Linked DNA regions of Mus musculus. The protein of the gene in region 4 interacts with the protein of the main gene of each other region in a biochemical or structural test. Links are inferred from orthologs where the notes say so. Each region holds a gene or a part of one and is shown on either strand. Other genes may lie near its edges.

Region 1 (4,164 bases), on a different chromosome or scaffold from region 4:
ACACAGCCCACTGTGGGAGACACCATTCCCTAGGCTTCAGCCCAGGACGGTGTAAGAGTGGAGACAGTGAGCTGAGTACAAGCATACATTTGTTCTCTCTCTGCTCTTGATTGTGGATGTGGCTAGCTGCCTCGAGGTCCTGGAACCTAGACTTCCCTATAGCAAAGAGCTCATATGGAATTATGAGCCAAATAAACCATTTTCTTCCTACGTTAGCTTTTGGCAGGATGTTAATATTACATCAACAGAAAGTGAAACTAGGCCATCCCTAAGTCAGGTCTTTTTGTACCTGCTGTGTTGTCCTAAAAGGAACAACTGTCCTCAGGAACTCACTGAACAGTGGGGTGAGAACAGCAGTGACCATGTCCCCCAAACAGGATCCTCCCCCTCCCCTGTTTCCTCTCCATTCTGCTAGCCCAGCAATCACCTTGAATGCCAATGCTAGAGTGACCATTTCCAAACCCTAAGCCCATTCCTCCTTTGCTGAGAGCTTTGGAGCCTCCCCAGTCCTGCTGCACACCCCACACTCCCATCAAGGAAAGGCATCTGGGGGGCCTGGGCATCTCAGCATCATGGGGGAGGGGGCTATTCTAAAACTCCCCTTCCCCACTTTGTAGAGCCGATCCATGCCTCATCTCCAAGCTTCAGGTCAAGCACATATGGAAGCCAAGTGGCACCAGAGAAGCCAGTACCTGAACTTCATCTTCTGAACGTTCACTCTTTAAGCAGACTCCGTAGCATTCAGACTAGACCAAGACTGGCATCCAGAGCAACCCGGCAGGGATGCAGGAAGCTTAAAGGAGTCATATGTATGCTCACACAGCTTCTGGCACACAGAAACGTTCAGCCAGCCCTAAGCCCAACTACATATCCTCAAAGAATTTAGGAAGAGGTGGTGACTATACCTCATCCCCGTGGTCTTTGCCACACACGGGACAAAAAAGAAACACTGCTGATGTGGCTCATGCACGCATATGCACACACGCACATGCTCACACACAGGCGCGTGCGCCTATTTTTAAAAGTAGGTTCAGGTAAATATAGGAATTTCTGGAGGAAGAAAGTTCTTCTCAGGTCAGGTATTCCTCAGCTGGGGCCCCCGTACAAAGCAGAACAAATGGGGGGGGATAGCCAATGAGGAAATCACTGTTTTCGCAGGGCCTTCTGCAAACCAAGCAGTCTGGCCACACGGAGAGACCAGATGATAGATCACCAAGAAAGGCAATGTGGGGCGGGACGTGCTGTCCGAGCAACACCAGGACAAGCGCAGAGCATCCCAGCCCTGGCTCCAGACTACAGCTCCCGGCATGCCCTGCACCTGGTACTCGCCCGCGGCGTGCGGAGGGAAGGATGCAGACAACGCGGCCGGCGATGAGGATGGAGGCCGGGGAGGCAGCGCCACCGGTGGGGGCGGGCGGCCGCCCCGGGGGCGGCTGGGGCAAGTGGGTGCGGCTGAACGTGGGGGGCACGGTGTTCCTGACCACCCGCCAGACGCTGTGTCGGGAGCAGAAGTCCTTCCTCAGCCGCCTGTGTCAGGGCGAAGAGCTTCAATCGGACAGGGTGAGCCCTGAGCCCGCTGACAGGGGGGTCCTGGCCCCGCGCTCCCGGGCTGTCCCGCCTGCGCGTCCCTCGGCCTCTGGCTTTCCTAGGATTCTGAGGCGGGGAGCCGAGGCAGGAGGAGGGGGAGGAAGAGGAGCCGAGAGGAATAGCTATACCCATTGCCGTGGCAACGGGACAGCACAGGCCGCAGCCATTTAGAGCTTTGGAGAGCTGCCCCAGATCCGGGACGCTTCCTTACTGTGGAGCGCTGGGGAGGGACCAACAAACCGGGCCTGCCTTACTGCCCTGGCTGACTCTTAAAGGAGTTGATGCGGCTGCTTCTCCCCGCCCTTAGGGTGTGGGCAGCTGAAGGGTACAAGGAACTAGATGGAGGAGGCCTGGGTGTCTTGGAGCTGGGCTTAATGTAGGGAAGAGCACTGGCTTTGGAGCTATCACTTGTGGGCTCACCCTGCTCTCCTGCCAAATTCCCAAATGACCAGGGAGGAATCGGGAGGAGAGGGGAACTTCCCTGCTCTCTGACTTTGGCCTCCTAGTGTGCAAGGCCTCTGGAGTTGGCTTGTCAAAGTCCCCTGTCCCCCATTCTGTGGCCCTCTTACACTGTGCCCTTGGGTGAGTCCCCTGTCCCTTGATGTCTCCGTCTTCTGTGCTGGGTTGTCCAGATCCCAGTCCTCCCTGCAGGCTGCACTTGTCCAATCAGAGTGCAGCTTCTTTGGAAACTTGCAAACATCTAGTGAATAGTGGGGTTGGCTGGGGGTGGGGGTGGGCGCGGTACACAGCCTCCAAGAGGGAAACTTTCCTAAGAGGGAAATTCACTGGGTCCTGTGCTGAGAGAGAGGTAAGGGGCCACTCAGGAATCCGGTCACCCTCTATACTCACATCTAATCCTCTGACTATGGGAGAAAGAAGCAACGCTCCAGAGGCCAGATGATTGGCTCAAGGTCACACAGCCTGGAAAAGGCAGAGGCAGGGTTCGAACCCAGATCCTTACTGCTTTCTTCCTGCTTCCTCTCTCCCTGTAGCCATTCTTCCAGCCAGCCTGTGGTGACTTGAGTTTATGTGTGTGTGTGTGTATGTGTGTATGTGTGTGTGTGTGTGTGTGTGTTAGGAGGGGTGGGGGTGGCTGGCTTGGGGAAGCTTGCACACCCCTCACTTCCTGTGGTCATCTCCTCCACAGGATGAGACCGGGGCCTACCTCATTGACCGTGACCCCACCTACTTCGGGCCCATCCTGAATTTCCTCAGGCATGGAAAATTGGTGCTGGACAAGGACATGGCCGAGGAGGGTGAGTTGGTCCATTGCGCTGGTCTGGGTCTCTACAGCCTACCGGAGCCTTCAGGGGAGGCCTAAAAAAATTGTCTTGAAGCCAGGACAGTGGCTACATTTCCCCATTATTTTCTGCCTGTCCCAGAGTGGAGTCCCATTCTCCAGGTCTCGGCAAGACCGACAGACCCCCGTGGTCACTGGGTAAATGGCAGGGAAACAGGAAGTGGTAAAAAGGAAGCCAGCCAGGTCCTGAAACATCTGTAGCCTTTGGGAATGTACGTCCTTCCTCCCTGGCCTCTGGCAAGCCAGGCGTAGCCTGTGATGCTCCAGGCTGGATGGGGGAAGGGTTGGGTCTTTTTTCTCGGCCTTACTCTGTGTCTCCCAAGCAAGGGCTTCCCATCAGCCAGGAGGCAAAGTTAGTGGTTCTCCCCCATAGCTGGCAGCCTCTACGGCCCAGTGGCTTGTTGGGGAGAACTTTGGCCTTTCCCAGACCCCTGGAGGCTCATATCCGGGCCCAGCTGATGTGGAATCGGGGTGGGGAATAGATCAGAGCAAGGACCACAGTCATCCCCAAACCAGCTCTCCTCGGTACACTTGAGCTCTGGACCAGGCTAGCTCAGACGTGTCAGTTTTCTTTGAGTCTCTCTTGGTGTCTCCAAAAATACCAAAAAAACAAAAACAAACAAACAAACAAAAAAGGCATCACGACCCACATTCAGAAGACTGTGTGTTGGGACAGATGGGTCCTGTGTACCTGTGGGTGTTTTACACGGCCCTCGCTCTAGGCTATGGTCCTCTCCAGCTGACCCCAGTGGAGTACGGTGATCCAAAGGCTCCCCAAAGGACATCACGCTTAGGGCTTACTGTAGGTAGCTAGCTCTGCGTTAGCCTGCTGAAGCTGCCTAGCAGTCTGAGGGGAAGCGATCACGTGGGTGGGGCCTGGGCTCAGGAGCAGGTCCCTCTGGGAGGCTCATACTCCAGCTGCGTCACAGCTAATACCTGTTTACAGGTTCTAGCGCCTCAACGCTCTGTGCTCTCCTACCCTCAGATGCTCTCCTACCCTCAGATGCTCTCCTACCCTCAGATGCTCTCATACTCTCAGATGCTCTCCTACCCTCAGATGCTCTCCTACCCTCAGATGCTCTCATACCCTCAGATGCTCTCATACCCTCAGATGCGGTGGTGGTGGTGGGGTTATCTGGAGAGATGGAGTTCTCAAGGAGGCAGTGGAAATGTTAGTTTAACCTCTCTGGGTCTGTGAAGGGTAGAAACAGTTGTGCCCGACTCAGTAAACACTGGGGAGGTAGAAGGGAGTTTCTCACAGCTCGGAGCTGCCTAGC
Region 2 (4,223 bases), on a different chromosome or scaffold from region 4:
TTATGTTGGTGTAAGGTCCAGGAGCTGAAATTAGCCGATTCTTCCATTGCTTGCACCTCATCCCAGTGAGTGGTCCCACCCAATCCACGGCCACATTTATCTTCATTATAGACGCTGGTGGACCTCACTTGTACCTCCCACCCCACAGAAGGAAGAGGCAGAGGCCATGCAGTAACATTCCCCTTTAATAGCCTGGTGGGACCTCCAGTGGTGGTGGGGTGGGTTGCTTGGGCCTAGCGACCCAGGCCCATTGCCCACTTACCCCACAGTCAAGAGTGGGGAGTTGGACAGCACCCAGCGGGAGGGGGGGGGCGCTAAACAAGCCAATTCATTTCCCATCGCTGAGCAGGTCGGGGGGGAGGCAGCACCGACCATAATCACGTGGTGGTCAAAAAAAAAATAACTAGGGGCAGGTGACAGGGAAGAGAGGCAAGGCCAAGGCAGGGGCCAAGGCTACCCCACACACCTTACCCGGGCCCCCAATAAATATTTGCAGGGGATGCCTGGGCCGGTAACCCTGGCAGGGATGGGTAATTGCTAACCCTATTTCAGGCAGCGCTCGAAGTAGGTGGACCCGATGTAACCACCTCTCATGGAGCGCTGCACATTTTGTTCAAACAGCCGCCGGTTGTTCTGCAGGACCTCAGCAGCCTCCTTGTTCAGTGGGTCCTCAGGGTTCGGCTCCTGTGGCCGGTACAAGTGGAAGTCAACAGGCAAGAGAGAGGCAGATGGCCAACAAACCCTCAGCTTCAAATGCCTAACCCTACTTACCAAGAAGAGATACTGCAGGCCATAAATTATGGAGTTTATCGTAAGGACTGGCTTCCAGTCCTCTCTGTGGGCAGAGAGCATCAAGGTTATCAGGGGCTGGTGAGTGGGAGGCTGCTACAGGCCCTGCTAATACTGAACAGGTTAGGCCCATAGAAGGCCTTTTAACATTGAAGTGTGAGATCTAAGAGTGAAGATACGGGACAGGGCAGGACACAGAGAAAGCCAAGGTCAGGTCATTAGAAAAACAACTAAGACAGAAACAGATTGACCATAAAGGGGAGGGAAGGACAGAGATAGATGCAGTGTCCACAGAAGGCTGAGGATACCTGGAAGGCAGGTCTTGGGAGGGAAAGGAAGGCAGTGCCCTCACCTGAGGATGTTGAGGCAGACGTTGCCCTCGAGGTCAATGTTGGGATGATAAACCATTGTTTCACACTTCACCTTGGGAGGGTCATGTGGGTAACCCTGTCCCACCTGGCTCCAGAAAAAGAGAAAGGAGATGGGAAGGTGTAAAAAGAGAAAGGAGATGGGAAGGTGTTTTGGTTGTACCCAGTCTTCTCCACAGAGCTACCTTTGTACACTTGAGACTCACCTTAAAGCTGAATACAAACTTGCCACTTTTGTAGAAGCCCTGGAAGAGGAAGGGGGAGAGTGAATGAAGACCCTACTCTTATGGGGCCACCCCTGGTCTGTTCTTGGGAATCCTGCCCTGTTTTACTCTTACTTCATCAGGACAGATCACCAGCTTGAAGTTGAGGAGGTCGTCTGGGTCTGAGAAGCTGATGTCACACGTCTTGGGCAGGTTCAGCTCGTTAATGTCTAGGTTTGGACAGCATGGAAAGGGAGAGAAACAGGTAAAAGAAAGGAGGTCTGGGCATGTGTCAGCAGAACCCATAAGTTCGCTTTCTAGACCTGAAGAGCTTTGTGTGGTGTACTTTAACTCAGTCTGTACTACTCCATATTCTTTCCACTTTCCAGTCTCTACGTGGACTCTTCTGGATACACAGTATCCCATATACAAGCATCTTCAAGTATAACTGCCCATCTCTTGGGAAAACCCTTACCCAGCTAAGTCCTCCACAAGTTCCCACAACATAGTCCCCAAGAACCTCTACTCCCATAACCCTTGCTTCCAAGAACCCTGAGCACCTTAAACCTGAGGTTTTCTATCTCTAGTCATTATCTCCACTCACTACTGTTTATCTGTCCACCGCAATTCAAGGACCATGACACCGGCCCCCCAACACTAAGTCACCCCTTCTCATCAACCACCCACCTCCACTGTCCTTCCTCGTCTCCATCTTATTACAAGCCCAAGATCCCATCTCATCCTTGAGATTTCCTGTATGGTAGCTTAAATTGACCCACACTCACATTTTTTAGTTCCTGTAACCTTCTTTTCTCCCTCCTCTTCACCTCAAACTCAAAATTGCTCTGCCTGACCCTCTGGACCTGAGTCTTGGGCCACGAGTCCCCAGTTTAAAACACTAAACCGTCTCCCACTTATTCCCAATTCGTAACCTTCACAATCTTCACGACACGGCACCCCAGAGCAAAGTTCTCGTCTGACTCTCAAAACTATACCCCTCCCCTAACAGATTCCGCGTCCCTAACACTCCAGGCCCGAGTATCCCAACGCCCCAATCTATGACCCTCCCTAGTGACCGCACCCCCAGTCCCGCATCACAACCCTCGAAACCTGACCACCAATACCAAATATCAGGGGCCGCATTTTCTCGCCACGGTCCCTGACCTCGAACGCAGGGTCCCGACCCCTACCCTTCTGAATCCGGAGCTGCGCCGCCGACGCCTTCTTGCTGCTGCCCTTGGTGCCGCCGGCCGACTCCTCCTCCTTCTTCTGCTGCTTCAGCGAGAACAGCTTGATCATCCTGCCGCCGCCGCCGCAGCCCGCCGCCGCGGGGGCCCGGGACCCCGGCCACCCGGCCCCCCGCCGCCGCCTGCGCCGCTTCCGCTCCTCGGACCCGCTACCGCGGCCTCCTCCGCTGCCGCTCGCCCGGCCTGCCGCGCTGCTCCGCGCCCACCGCACGGCCCGCCTCGGCTCCCGTAGTCCGGCTCTGGCCTGGCTAAGCACCTCGGGTGTGTTCGGAGGTGCTCGGGAGGACTCGGCGATCCTCGGCCCCGCCCCTGCTACGGTCCCCGCGCCCTCCTCCCCCTCTTCCGCTTGGGTCTGGTGAGGCCCCGCTGCGGCTGCGGACGCCGGCCTTTACAGGTCCGCCGCTCTCCCGCCTACTTGCTCCCTCTGCTAGGAGGCTGCGGTGAGGTGGAAGGAGGAGGCGGTAGCCGCGCTTGCGGCGGCAGGGTACCGCAGGGTACCGGTGGAGGCTCAGCTTCCGCGGCAGGCGCGGCTTCGATGCGGAGGTCGGCAACGGCCTCGGGCGCCCCGCCGCTTCGGCACTTTCCGTCGCCTGCCCACTTCGGTTTTTCCTGCCTCAGCTGTGCTCTGCGCCTGCGCAACCCTTGCAGCCCCCTGGTTCCTCCTCATTGTAGTTTGAGGTTCGGTCTTTTTCGGTTAAGCTCGGGTATTTCCGTTTGTGGAGGTGACTATTCGGCGGTCTAGCGGGTACTTCCTGGGACGCGCACCCAGTAGAGTAGGAAGCAGTGCTTGCGACCATTTTTGAGCGAGGCGGGTAGTGAGTGGCCGTTTGGCTCTCGGTGGTTCCATTCAATCTTACACTTACGCGGAGCGCAGCGGAACCGGGCTAGACTGGATCTTTGCTCTCTGAGGATTCAGCAAACGCAGGGCCTGGACGTTTTAAGGGACGTTGTCGAAGGGTGCAGAAGCAGGCTCCCCTAATCCCACCGCAATCCCAGATTCGGATTGATGTAAACTAGTTTAAATTTCGAATTGCTCTGGAGGCTTGAGGCATCAAGTTGGCTTGAGCCCAGGCGCTCAGGGATACCCTAGGCAACACATCGAGACTCTTGTTCCTTAAAATAGATTTCTATTGTGCAACAGGCTGTGAGCAACTGTGTAGTTCTAGGGTCCAAGGTGGACGTGGGTATAGGACTCATAACTGCGGCTTAGAGAACAGCAGAAGTGGCATTGGCTCTCTCGAGTGGCATTGTGCCTCTCGATTGGCTTATGTTGAGTGAGCTTAGGGTGCTTGGGAGGCAGAAGGAAATAGCTCAGGATGGGTCAGTGACTTCAGGCTGTCATCTAGGAATCCAGCCGAAGCCAGAGTCTAAATGCTTCTTGTTGCTTGTCTGGTCACAGCTTGAAAAACATGGCCAGAACAGGTTCGGACTCTGTTCTGCTCTTTGCCATCTGACAGCATTTGTGCCACCCAGCATGACCCGCGGTTCTACATTCCAGACTTAGCCAGCAGCACCCTCCTCCTCCTGACTTTTTAAGGCTAGCTCATTCTGAGACTCAGACAAATCACTCTAGAACTGTTCATTACTGTCTTGTCAGTTACCATTTTTGTCAGTTA
Region 3 (4,276 bases), on a different chromosome or scaffold from region 4:
CCTTTGTTTATGAGACTTGGCTAAGACTCTGTCCTGTTAAGGAGACCCAAAAGAATGCTCTATGAAGAGTTCTTGTCTTCAGATGCAATTCTGATATTTTGCAATTTGATGAAGTGAATCATATGCATTTGAATGACAAATATGAAAGATTGCGTTATTGGGATTCAATTTAATTACAGAGAAATAGAGGGCGATGAGATGGAACATATCACAGTAACAAACACAGTGATGTAGATAACAAGGACTGTAAGCTGTTTTGCGCTTGTAACATTTGTCCGGATTTCAGAACTCTACAACTCAAGAGCCTGGGCTGTAGAATTCAGAATCCTAACGCAGGACCCCTTTGTTATCTTTGGTCATATCATCCAGTGCGTGTGGCGGAATCTACAGGCTGTCCAGGCTGTGGTTGGGGCAAGCGAGGTTTGGACATGGAGTGTGTGTTTGCGGTGGGGGCGGGGCGCCCACCCTCGCACATCTCAGCGTTATTGCATTACCTGTGATTGTGGAGAACTGGTTTTCAAGTACTGAAAAACTCCAAGAAACAACAAAAGCAGTATTTAGGACACTTAACAATCACAACCCCATTAACGCTTCCCTCTGCTAAACAGCGGTTTGGCCAGGTTCGACTTATGTTTCTTAGACTTTTATAGTCAGGGGACCTGGCTTATCTTGGTGTCAGGCTGACCCCAGAGCCTAATGTGGCACTAGGTTTTTCTCTCGCTGTCTGGGGACCGCAGAGGTGTCTGACGTTCAATGCCTGAAGCATTCGAAACCTTTGGCGCAAGTAACGCATGACTCTGAATAATTGACTCTGAAAAAGAGGCGCATTTCCAAAGTTGAGGACAGAAAGGTTGTGGCATAAAGGGGAGGAAAGCGGAGATATTTTTCTTCTTCTAATTTTCCGCAATGGGAAACGATTGAGGAGAACCGGCGGGACCCGGGCGCGGGCAGTAGCGGGATCTGGCCGATGGCCTCCCAGGGAACACCAGTCCCTGTGGGCTGGAGCTTGGCTCTAGGTCCCTCAGGCTGCTTTGTTTCGGATGCTTAACCCAGGTTCTCGGCTGGGCTCTCGGTTGGTCTCCCGCTCCAGGATCCGCCCGCCACAGGGCGGGGCTTCAGGGTCAAGGTGGACCAATTCCCCAGTCTCGCCCCTCCACGCGCTTTCGGACCCCTGAATGACTGACAGCCGTTGGGTCCAACCTGCGGCTCCGAACAGTGGCCTCCACCAGGGGCGGTCGGAGGCGAGACGCCGGGGCCAATCACGTTGCAGTCTAGGGGGCGGGGCCTCCTTGCCAGCTGCAGGCGGCGCAACCAGCACTTCTTCGGTCAAATGAGAGCCGAAGAGGGGCGGTCCCCCGGCTGGGGTCTAGCCAATGAGAAGGGCGGGATGGGCGGGCCGGAGAAGAAGCCGGCGGTCCTCTGTTGCGAGCTAAGGTTTGGGGAGTCGGTAGGGGGACCGCGAGTGGAGCGCGGGAGCCCGGGCGGCAGGCGGGTGTGAGCTGCCCGAAAATGCACTCGGATGCTGCAGCTGTCAGTGAGTAGCACAGAGCCAGCGGGCCCGCACACCGCGTCCGCTCCTGCGCTCCCTTCTCCACTTCTCCGGTTCCGATCGCGCTGGAGTCCCTGGCCCGGGAGCGGGTTGAACCCCTCCTGGAGTCCGAGGGCCGTGACGCTGCGGGCGGCTGGGGCGGGGGCAGGGGCGGCGGGGAGGGGGTGGGGACTGGCTGGCTTTCCGCGGTTGGGGGAGGGGGGACATTCTGGAAGGCCGGGGGCCGAGAGTCGGTGGTGCACGGAGGTGGAGACGGCGGCGGGCGCTGGCAGCTGGGGTCGGGGGTGGTACGAGCGGGCAGGGAGAGGGCCTGCGGTCCGAGTACAGGGTGAGGCTTGCGGGGCCCGAGCCGTACGGTCTACCGGGGAAGGCGGGGGAGTGCGAGGGGAGAGGGGGCGGGGACAATGGGAAGGAGGGCTGGGGGCGGGGGCGGGAACAATGGGTGGGGAGCTGGGGCAGCGGCCGGGCCGGTGAGGGGATGGGGGGTGATGTAACGGGGGCCATGGAGTGGGAGACGCCGCGGTGGGATGGGAGAGTTGTGGAGTCCGGTGTGCGGGACGGCGGTCGGGAGTGGGGAGAGGGCTTGGGGGGCAGGTGTTGGGACAGGCGGTCCCCGGAGGAGTGGATGGCGGATAGGACTGCTGTGCAGTTTGGGGGCTGGGACAGGGGTCGGGGAGGGTGTGCGGAGTGAGTTAGGAGGAAGAGTAGGTGGGGAGAAGCGGGGACTGGGAGGGCTGTCATCTTCGGGTACGGTGCTCTTGGGGCGGGGTGGGGAGCGTTGGACTGTCCATTGGGGGAGGCGCCTCCTCCCTGGAGAGGCCCGGTTCCAGCCTAGGAGGGGACCACCATTGAGCCTCGGGGTGCACTGAGGAGAGGGGGCGGGGCCGGGTACCCGGGAGGTGTCCCGAGGCTGGCAGTAGCCTCCGCGTTCGGCGAGCAACGGGGAGCGAGGTCAGCGCGGGCTGGGGTTACAGGACCGGGAGGCCGCTGTCTGCGAGCTGACTCGACCCGCAGGGGTCCTGGAAGCGGGGTGGAGGAATTGGCGTAAGAGGTTGTCGGGGTCCCCGGCGGTCCGTAGGTTTGGCAGTGTGTGACGCAGTTCTCTAATTTCTGGCCATCAGGTGTAGAGGCTGATGCGTCAAGACCTGTTACCTTGTACGGAGGGCCGCTTTGGAGGCATAGCAACGCGCGTGCGAGAAGCTACCTCCGCCCGAAGCACCGGGAGGGTGCTTTAGGGGTTTCCTTTAGGGTCTGGCTCCCCGAGCCGGTGTAAAGGGAAAGGCAGTCTCGTGGAATTCTGGGTCTTGTAGTCCCAGCCGCCCTGGGCCGCGGTTGGATTGGGTGCACGTGGGTAACTGTGGAAACGAGTCCCAGAATTCAGCGCGCCCCTTGGACCCTCCTTGCTTGACTAACTCGTGCTTTATGCCGCGGAGACTCAATGCATTCTCTCCCGGGAGATGCCTGGGTTCCTTGGGACAGTGTCCACCGCAGAGGGAAAGCCCAGGCCAAGCCCTGGCCTTTCTCCAAGATAATTTACCCCTGCATCTGCCTTGGGGAGCGAAAGCTTAGTCTCAAATCATCCTGCACACGTTCGTTTTAAAGCAACGTTTACCATGGAACATTTAGAGCGTGTTCATTGTATGGACGTCTAGAGTGAAGTATATAGCCTTACATAAGTATGGAAACTAAGTAGAGATTCGTAATATCCCTTGTGAAGAAAATACAGATAACTGCACTGGGTATTTCTTGGGCTACTTGGTTTGTCCAAGAGTTAGGGGATTTTTCTTTTGGAAGCGAATCAAGAATGGCAGCTTAGTGGAATTTGGGGTTGAAGTAGTCTCATGCCAGAACCTGCAATGAAATCCTAAAGGTGAGCAAAGGGGAACTGTGATGTCTTAACTTTTATGTAAGTGAAGCGAATGAGGCTGTAAAGTCCTTCCCTTTGGACTATTACAGGTCTTCCTAGTTTGTGGGCATCCTTTGCCAGTTCTCCTTGGTGATCACCCTAAATCAAATGTAGGGACTATAAGATTATTTTTGTGTGGTGTAATGGATACTATGAAACATCCATAATCGCAATGGTTATTGGAGGGGTGTTTTAATAACCCAGCGGTAAACATATTGAGGGCGAGTTTTAATATTTGGAAACGACTTGACACAGTTAAGACAGTACTAAACTTGTCTATGTGTTTGATAATGTTTTTTTAAATTTATTTTTACTATTTTAAGTATATATATATATATATATATATATGTGTGTGTGTGTGTGTGTGTGTGTGTGTATGTGTACATGCATATAGATGCAATGGAGAGCAGATGTGTGTGTGTGTGTGTGTGTATGTGTACATGCATATAGATGCAATGGAGAGCAGATGAAGGGTCCCCTAGAACTGGTGCTTGTGAGCTACTCAACTGAGAGCTAGGAATGGAACTCAGATCCTCTGCAAGAGCAATAAGCACTCCTAATTCTCCAGACCTTACAGGATGGCTTTTGAAATAAGGTCTGAGAAACTTGTGAGAATATGTTTTAGGGAAACAATTTATATCTATCCTGTTTTGACTTACACCTGCAGTAAAATCTCTAAGAACTGTCTTGTATAGAGTATGGACATTTTCCAACAAAGTATTTAATCCAGGATTTGCTGTTGCCGAGTGATTGTGGTGGGGTGGGGTGGGGGGGAGCATGTGCTCTTTAGATCTTCAAGATCTAAAGAAAACATCAGTCTG
Region 4 (4,333 bases):
TAATGTGGTGTAACTTTTATTCTGCTTAAAAATGTGAAAGCAAACTTAAAATATGCACTAAAAATGTAAGAGAACCTGATTTGGTAGAACTTTAATAAAGTACTTTTTTGATAAAGTACTCATCTATATATGAAATATATTCTGTAAGTTAACTTACCACTATTGTACAATGAAAAATCAAACAAGTCTAAACTTACTTCATTCCTTTTATACATCCATTTTATAAAAAACCTGAAATGAGCAACTGCCATTACTTATAGCTAACTACATATCCACATAGTATAACACATAACAGTTGTAGGAATACACACATGTAATAAACATAAATGGTATTTTTTGTGTATGAAATACTATGTATTTTAACTTCTAAGAATCCAAGTGGGTTGTACTTATATACAAGACATCTAATCTGAATGAAAGCAATTCTGACAGCCTAATGGACTCACTTCCCAGAACTCAATAAAATATCACTGGAGCATTATTTAGCCTCAACAATAGCCAATTATTTCAATGGGAACAACTTATGGTTATTTACTTATGAACTGGAAAACAAACAAAAAACAAAACAAAAATCTCAGTTTTAGTACTAGCCTATCACACACTAATACCATCTTCATTCAGCTAATGGTACAAAATTCTCTTCCTGCTTCTAATCCCTAATGCTAGCTCCAGAAACCACTGATCTTTTCCTTTTTCACATCTACTGCTAAGTCCTAAAGCTCTAGGAATAAACAGTGCCTGCATACAGTACTCAGTATATGGGGAGAGGAAAACAGGTTCAAGTAGAGAAACCTAGAGGTCAAAGAGCTGCAAACACAGATAAAGGTAGAACCGGTTACTCTGAAAAATATTAACTGGTCAAATATAAGCTCTTTCACATTTTACTAAACAACAAAGAAACAACAGAACCAAGAGTAAATATTTCCTAGAAAAATCAGTGTCATAGTTGATTAAAAAAAAATTAAAACATAAAAAACAACCATGTCTGAATTCGCTTAAAAAAAAAGAGGGAAGGATGTGGATTTGACAATCACTTGGGTGGTTGATTAGGTAGGGAAATTATTCAAGTTCATAAACCTGGCTCACTGTCCAATTACAAAGGAAAACATAATAGTTACCTTTATTGGCACTGTGTTTCTAGCATTTCTCACTTTCTGGTGTAATCTCTTATTTACTTAAAAAAATCGTTCATAATGCAATTATTATTAAAGTATCTCGTCCTCCTGATTATACCCTACATGTTAACATAGAGCCCATTTATTTACATAAAGGTGCAAGTTTTTACATGCTGACAATATGTCCCTTGCAAAGTCACAATTCTGCATCGCTTGTACACTTCTTTGGGATGAGGAATTCAGAGGCCCTCAAGTTCTCCAAGGCAAAGTTACTTAACTCAGACAATACTATCGTGGTCTTTCATTCCTCACAGCAAAGGGTACTTCAGGAAAAGCCTGTTCAAAAAGTGATGACAAAGGCCCCCTTCCCCTCCCACACGACAGAATGCTTATGAGTCTTAGAAGGGAAAAACAACCTCCCTCCGTTTTACTTTTACAATTCTGCTCCACTGATGGCTTGTCTATTTGACATTTACCTGTCACTGTAGCGACACGAGCAAGTACGTCCAGTTTGTTACAACAGGACATTTTAATTGCCTGCCACTGGCTATCTGATCGAGGCATGACATCCAAAGTTACATACTACTCCATCTACTAAACACCGCAAGCCTATGACTCAACGTAACGCCAAGAGGAAAAGTTTCTGAAGAGCAAATGTTTGCTGTCGCTAAAAACGTACAAGGTAAAACAAGTCTGAGTGGCAACTATTCTTGGGGACCTCCTTGACTAAGACACGGAAAAGCTGTGCCTGGCCCTCCAAGAAGTGGAGGGGCGATTCTGAACCGGAGTGGGTCAAGCGCTTAGGAAGCTTTGCAGGATCAAGGATGCTATAAATACTATGCTCCTAGTGTTTTGCCAGTGGGCATTTCTAGCATCTCTGTCAGTGAGTGGGGCAGTGGGATGGCAAGACCGCCCCTGACTACGGAGTCGAGCAGAGGTGGACAGTCCTCCCCACCGCCGTAAAAGCCGAGCCGGCTCCTTCTGGAAACCGCACGCTAAAAGTTACACACACGCCCCACGCGACGGGTGCGGCGGCCACAGCGCGCATCCCCTCAGGGCCGCGGCCCCCGAGGCCCGAGCGAAGGAGGCCCCGGGGCGGCCGGGGCGCGGGGAACGGCCCCGGAGGTGGCCGACCCGGCCCCGCGCCGCCCCGTTGCCGGGAAGCCTCGCGCTCCGCCACCGGCGGCGGCCGTGGGGGGAGGGGAGGCCGGCTGCGGCCTGTTGGCGGAGTTCAGCCCCGGCCTCGCGTGCGGCTCCGGGCCGCGGCTCCCGGTCCCGGGCGCCGAGGACCGACTCACCGGAAAGGCCCGGATCCGCATCTTGGTGTCCTTCCGGCTGCCCGTGCCTTTGCTCAGATTCGACATGGTGCTCGGCCCCTCCCCGGCGGCGGCGCTGACGGCGGCGGCGGCTGCGGCTCGCACTCGGAGGCGCCGGTGTCACATTGAAGGCGGGAGGGCAGCCGCGGGGCTCGGCGGGGGGCGGCGGCGCGGCCCCCGGGCTGGGCTGGGCGGCGGGCCGGCCCCTGGGCGGCCGCGGCGGCGGGGGCGGCGGCTCGGGCTCGGGCGGCTCGGGCTCGGCCGGGGGCTGCGCTGGCGCGGCGGCTCCGCGGGCTTCCCCTCGCGCCGGGCTCGGCTCCCTTTATCGCGCTCCTCCGCGATGGCGGCGGCGGCGGCGACGGACAAACATCTCACTGCGCAGGCCGAACGTCCTCCTCCTCCTTCTCCTCCTCCGCCTCAGCGAGACGAGATCCGGCCCAGAGGGTGGAGGGGGGAGGAGGGAGGGAGGAGAGCGGAGAGTGGAGAGATGGGGGAGGGGGCGGGAGGACGGGAGGGGAGGCGGGAGGCCGCGGCGGGCACGTCAGATCTCGCGAGATCGGGGCGGGCGCGCGGTCGGGGGCGGGGTGGGGCGAAGCCCGGGAAGGGAGGGCGCAGGGAGAAGTGGGGTCTGAACGTGGTGGGGAGGGGGGAGAGGGGTGGATTAAGGAATGGGCGTAGTCAGCGCCCTGGGGGGCGGGGCCTGGTGCAGGAGACGTAGGCTGCGTTTTCAAAAGAGGAGCGTCGGAGACCCCAGTAGGCTGAGGTGGCTTCTGATTGGTGGAGCGCGAAGGTGGTGGGTCACGTGGGTAGTGGGCGGGGGAATTTCCGGAAGGGGGAGAGGGGAGTGTTGTGTTGTGGGCTGGCGGGGCTGAGCTTGGCCCTAGTAGGTAGGTAGTCCTGGGAAAGGGCGTGGGGTGCGAGGAGGAAGGTTCTACGTCCTAGAACTGCTCCTGTGTTTTTCTAGGGCACGTGGCCTAGGGATGGGTACTTGAGCCCAGCCAGAAACTTGAAAGCAGGGTTTGTGCTTGAGTTACCTGCAGACTGCGAAACCAGTGTCCTGTTTTTAGCTAGGTGTTGCAGCGCCTCAGAATCAACCCGGCCTTCTTACACTGTACAAGCTCCTGGGTTTGTTCATTAGTTGATACCTTCTGGAGGATCCAGAGCCCACTAATGTTAAAACCCGGTTTTTGTTTGTGCCGAAATAAAACAAATGCCTAATATACTACAATATTGTGTTAAACATACGACCATTTCCAAGAACAGTATAGATCATTAAAACCAAAAGCACTGTGAAATTAAGTTTGCTGTAGGTTTGGAGACATTTTTCTATTTGTTCGGGGACTCTTATCCTATAGTCGAAATGTCCAATTCGACTGCTTTTGGCTTCTAATTCAGTATGAATCCTACATCTACCTTGCATACTTGCTCATTTGCTGTTTCCAACGCCCCTGGGAAATCTGAGATTCTCCCAGTTTTGGATCTTCCCATTTTGAGTGAACTGTTGTTGGGATTAGCACCTACAATTGAAATTGGTGGCCCATGACCTTAATCCCAGCATTTGGGAAGCAGAGGCAGGTGGATTTCTGAGTTCGAGGCCAGCCTGGTCTACAGAGTGAGTTCCAGGACAGCCAGGGCTACACAGAGAAACCCTGTCTTGAACACCCTTCACACACCCCCGCCCTCCAAAAGGGAAAACTTGATAAAGCTTGTTTATTTATGGTTGAATTGACCCTAAATTATTTGTAATGACTAAGCTTAGAGAGTTAAGCTAAAAATAAAATATCAAGAATGGGTTAAGTAAAACAAGGAAGGGCTCTGATGAATATAGTGAGTGATGCATAGTTGTTTATAACTAGTATGCTAATTGATTGCCATTTCCATAATTATCAGGATATAAAACCT
Region 5 (4,183 bases), on a different chromosome or scaffold from region 4:
AGAGACCAAGCTCTTAAGCACTGAGTTCCATCAAGGAGGCTCCCTCACTGAACCAAACGGCACTCAACTTTTGCTACTTCAATACCAAGGCAGCGCCTGTGCACCCTGGGCCGGAGGCAATGGAAAATTACAGGAACTGTGACTCCCACCAACGGCTGTAATCCTCGGAAGTATCCAGTGGGTGGAAGGAGGCAGCACTGCCTGCGCCTCTGCATGACTTCAAACAAGCAGTTTTCCTTTCTTAGAACACCTGGGATGAGGAGGCGGACAACTCTAAGGTGGGAATAAAAGCTATATTTCTTCTTCTATTCCAGACATTTCCTTCTAGTGCTCCCTTTCAGTATTCTGCCCTCAACAGAAGCCCAGGCAGCCTGGCAAAGTAACCGTCACGGCAATGGCAGGGAGTGTCACCGCCACGCCACACCCTGTGCACCCGTGACTGCAGAGCTCCCTACAGGCTGTGCAGCATCCCACCCTTCTCGCACCCTTTCCACAGGCCCTATTCCTCCCTTTCTGTGGTAAGAGAATTAAAGCCCCGAGCCATTACATGATGTAGCCAAGGGCATATAACATTTAAGTGGGTAGAGCTGGATTCTTGCCCAGGACACTGCTTCTAGAGTGTATACAAATCATTCCTAACACGTATTAAGACGTAGATTACTGGGGCTAGGAGGATCACTCTACTGGTATACTGTGTGCCATGAAAGCAAGACAACCTACTTGCACGGATCCTCAGCCAGGTAGGACAAAGTATGCCCGGGGAGGCAGAGGCAATGAAGATCCCTCACTGGCTAGATAATCTGGCTCAGTGAGTTCCCTGTTCATTGAGAGATGGCCTCAAAAAATAAGTTGGGGAACAACTGAGAACTGAGGCAGCCACTCAATTGTCAACTTTTGGTTTACAGATGTTTACTGTCCCCACACAGGTAAATACACACACACCCCTCACAATTTGGGGGTGGGATCTGTGCCATCTAAGCTTAGAGCAGGTCTTAGATGGGGCCCAAATCTGTCCTTTAAACAAGCTCTCAGGTAATTCTGATACAAACCAGCCACTAAAAATATGTACTATGGGAATGCTTTCCCAACCTGAGCTCCCGTGGAACACCAGCTTGTCACAAAACAATGAGCAGACGTAATTCAAAACAGATGGGGTAGGGTGGTCCCTGGTTAAGAAAGTTTTTAGGACTATGACGCATTCTATGACTTTCTGGGAGATTTGCAGTGAGCATTACCACGCTGTATTAACAGAGCAGTTCCCAAGCTTGCTTAACCACAGGATCCTCTATCAAGAGCACCCATTAACATCTCACAAAACCCAGCAAGTGGGGCGGAGTCTGGGAAGCCAGGCTGTGGTAGTTCTTCCTACTTGGAGCCCACACTGGCCTCTACTCACTTCTGCCAAGTATGCAATAAGTGGAATTCAAAGCTCTAACCCTGGCCTCACCCTCACCAGCTATGTGAGACCTCTAAGCCTCTCTGGGTTTGCTCCTCAGCTATAAGTCAAAATAATAAGCCCTGCATGCTTACAGGGTCTTCATATGGGCACAATGGGGGCCCAACTGCTGTGTGGGAGCCAGCAAGATGACTCAGTGGGTAAAGGGGCTTGCTGAAAGGCCCAAGAAGGTTGATCCCCAAGACCCACATGATAGAGAAAAAAATAATTCCTGTGCATGTGCACATGTGTAGCCGCCCTCTCCCCACCCCCAACACACACACAAAGTAAATGTAAGAAATGCTATATAAACCACATAGGCCTTTAAATATCTTTTAGTCTGTGACTATGGCCAATCAAAGCTTGGTAATAACCCATTTGACTTTGCATTCCACTTTCCATACATGAGACTAATCTCTTAAACTACTCTGTGATCAGGACGATTATTTTGTCCAAATTATTTCGAAGTGAGGGGCCTGCTTTGAAAACTCCTACAAAGTGATGTTACACTTTACCGTATAGCATAGCATATGCCTACAGGAATCACATCGTTCTTCCTAATAACTCTGTGAGGGGTGGACTCTTACTACTTGGTCCATTTTATGAGAGGAAACTGGATCAGGAAAAAAAAAAAAAAAAAAAAAAGACTTAAAACTAATGCGGCAAAGATCTGGCTCCACTTTTAACTCAAAACTGCATTTGGCACCTCTATGTCACCTAATTCTGGCCACAAAATAAATCACACTGAAATGATGTTCCCGGCTGGTTCAAGGCAGGCTAGAAAGGAAGGAAGAAGCAGTTGCAGACAACCCAAGTTCTGACCTTGGCTCTGCTGCCTAACTACTTGGTAACTTAGATAAACTCCATATCTTCTCTGGGTTTCACTTTTCCTACGTGTGAAAGGACGCTGGACAACCGTGAGGGGTGTAATCTCACTTCTGGTACCTCCTACCACTGATTGTCCCGAGATTATTCGGTCGCAGGACGGTGCTGAGAGAGTCGGGCAACTTGTTTTTATCAAGTTACGCCCAGAAAGACTCCAAGGGAAAAAGAGCTCTAAACGCCTCGAGAGCACAGAGGACTCCGCCCCACGGAGACCTGAGTTAAGCACCCTGGTCCGGTTCAGCCCGGATCAATTCACAGCAAAACCCCCAAAGCCAGTTTTGCGCAATATAAACAACCCCTCGAGTGGTCCTATGTGACGTAAAACGAGCGCGACGGACTGGCCCTCCTGTTTCTCGCTCACACAGAGTCTTGTTGAAGTAAACCTCTGCGTGAAAAGGCTGCGGATCAAGTGGGGAGAAAGAGCCGAGGATGGAGAGTGGTACCGGATCTATAGACAAGCCCAAATATTGACGCAGGGGCCACTACAACTCACCTGTCCGTTTGGATAGCTGGCCATGGCGGTTATGACGTCACACAACTGTGGTAGGCGGAGTTTCCTGCTCCCAATGCCGCTCCTGGTTGGATTTTGGGGCGGGTCCGATTGTGATTGGACGGACAGGCTGTCAATCTTCCGGTCAACAAACGGAAGTCACAGGCGGTGAGCTGGTACCTTACAGAGGGCTGGGTAGGAGTGTCCGGAAGTGTTGTTGACCGTAGTGGCTCGTTTGTTTTTATTTTTCGTGACCTGCAGCGGACCTCGGGCCTGGCCAGCTGTAGTTATCTAATGGGGAGACTTGGTCAGTTGTTTCTGTGGTGGCCATATTATAACCTGGCAAGGCCATATTATAACCTGACGCATATTAGTTACGTCACTGTCGTGATCACTTTACTTCTAACGCCCAGGCGGTTGCCATGGCTACTGAGAACTTAAGCCTTTCCTGGAATGCAGGTGCCATTTAGAACGTGGGTACTAAACAGACCCGTGGACAGTGGAGAAAGGTCAGACCGCCAGAAGAGAAGGAAAATTAAGATGTCACGGTGCTCCTATCTTTATGTATGGGGAAACTGAGGCTCAGAAAGGCAATGACTTAGTTACCTAAACTCACAGTGAGTTCCTCAGCAAAGTACGGCCTAGAACTAGTGTCAGTAGATGACTAGGTCTCAACAAGGAGGTTTTATTCCCTCTGTAGGTCAAATCACAGTTCCTAAGTTACCAACTTTCCTGTACTTGGCTCTTGGGGTTTAGGTTCTAAACTTGGTTGCATGTTTATTTGATTAGTTACATTCCCACGTGGCCGGGCCTGGTGGCACATGCCTTTAGTCTCAGCAGGCAGAAGCAAGCATACATACATAGACAGTTCCAGTCTAGCCATGGCTGCATAATGAGGCTCTGTCTCAAACAACAACAGCAGCAGCAGCAACAACAAAAACTCTCATGTGGACAAGAATTGTGTTTGATTTGCTTATAATTGTATCCCCAGTATCTACAGTGCCAACACTATACTTTTTAAATAAAAAGTCCTGAGCTTTCAATCTAGCCAGGCACTTTCCACAGTCCCACTGCTGATCGTGGTACTGGCCATAGGACAGTCTGCAAAGCACGGTCCTCATCCTTACCTGCAGAGGAAGACAAGTCTGGTGATCCAGTTCCTTCGTGATCTGGCCCAGCCTTACCCACCAGCGCCCCGCTGGCTTATTTCTTTGCTCAGCTTCCCCCTCAGCACTGGCGTTAGTGAGCAGATCCTGTTGTTCGTTTTCTTTTTTAAACAGTTTCTAGCTGTGTGATCTTGAAGAAGTCATTTAACCTCTCTGAGTCACAGTTTTCTGGAATACAACTTAGGAAAATGCTAACTTAAAAATGAA

What was found.
Region 1: the proteins of Cul3 (region 4) and Kctd17 form a complex in vitro, tested with the Homo sapiens proteins (3 studies listed by BioGRID). The link is inferred for Mus musculus from reciprocal best matches to the Homo sapiens genes CUL3 and KCTD17.
Region 2: the proteins of Cul3 (region 4) and Ube2m form a complex in vitro, tested with the Homo sapiens proteins (2 studies listed by BioGRID, with this or other methods). The link is inferred for Mus musculus from reciprocal best matches to the Homo sapiens genes CUL3 and UBE2M.
Region 3: the proteins of Cul3 (region 4) and Dcun1d4 form a complex in vitro, tested with the Homo sapiens proteins (2 studies listed by BioGRID, with this or other methods). The link is inferred for Mus musculus from reciprocal best matches to the Homo sapiens genes CUL3 and DCUN1D4.
Region 5: the proteins of Cul3 (region 4) and Pef1 form a complex in vitro, tested with the Homo sapiens proteins (2 studies listed by BioGRID). The link is inferred for Mus musculus from reciprocal best matches to the Homo sapiens genes CUL3 and PEF1.

What each region holds. Positions count from the first base shown.
Region 1 is NC_000081.6:78,427,308-78,431,471, forward strand, and holds the start of Kctd17 (BTB/POZ domain-containing protein KCTD17), read left to right. Parts: upstream 1-1,256; 5' UTR 1,257-1,350; coding exon 1,351-1,560; intron 1,561-2,734; coding exon 2,735-2,843; intron 2,844-4,164. UniProt on the Homo sapiens protein: Substrate-adapter for CUL3-RING ubiquitin ligase complexes which mediates the ubiquitination and subsequent proteasomal degradation of TCHP, a protein involved in ciliogenesis down-regulation.
Region 2 is NC_000073.6:13,035,071-13,039,293, forward strand, and holds Ube2m (NEDD8-conjugating enzyme Ubc12), read right to left. Parts: upstream 2,909-4,223; 5' UTR 2,660-2,908; coding exon 2,551-2,659; exon of another isoform or gene 2,504-2,550; coding exon of another isoform or gene 2,485-2,503; intron 1,591-2,484; coding exon 1,496-1,590; intron 1,403-1,495; coding exon 1,364-1,402; intron 1,246-1,363; coding exon 1,142-1,245; intron 836-1,141; coding exon 772-835; intron 685-771; coding exon 544-684; 3' UTR 50-543; downstream 1-49.
Region 3 is NC_000071.6:73,489,658-73,493,933, forward strand, and holds the start of Dcun1d4 (DCN1-like protein 4), read left to right. Parts: upstream 1-1,368; 5' UTR 1,369-1,509; coding exon 1,510-1,534; intron 1,535-1,773; exon of another isoform or gene 1,774-1,877; intron 1,878-2,000; exon of another isoform or gene 2,001-2,019; intron 2,020-2,525; exon of another isoform or gene 2,526-3,419; intron 3,420-4,276. UniProt on the Homo sapiens protein: Contributes to the neddylation of all cullins by transferring NEDD8 from N-terminally acetylated NEDD8-conjugating E2s enzyme to different cullin C-terminal domain-RBX complexes which are necessary for the activation of cullin-RING E3 ubiquitin ligases (CRLs).
Region 4 is NC_000067.6:80,337,833-80,342,165, forward strand, and holds the start of Cul3 (cullin-3), read right to left. Parts: upstream 2,859-4,333; 5' UTR 2,480-2,858; coding exon 2,414-2,479; intron 1-2,413. UniProt on the Homo sapiens protein: Core component of multiple cullin-RING-based BCR (BTB-CUL3-RBX1) E3 ubiquitin-protein ligase complexes which mediate the ubiquitination and subsequent proteasomal degradation of target proteins.
Region 5 is NC_000070.6:130,106,281-130,110,463, reverse strand, and holds the start of Pef1 (peflin), read right to left. Parts: upstream 2,909-4,183; 5' UTR 2,838-2,908; coding exon 2,814-2,837; exon of another isoform or gene 2,346-2,813; intron 1-2,345. UniProt on the Homo sapiens protein: Calcium-binding protein that acts as an adapter that bridges unrelated proteins or stabilizes weak protein-protein complexes in response to calcium.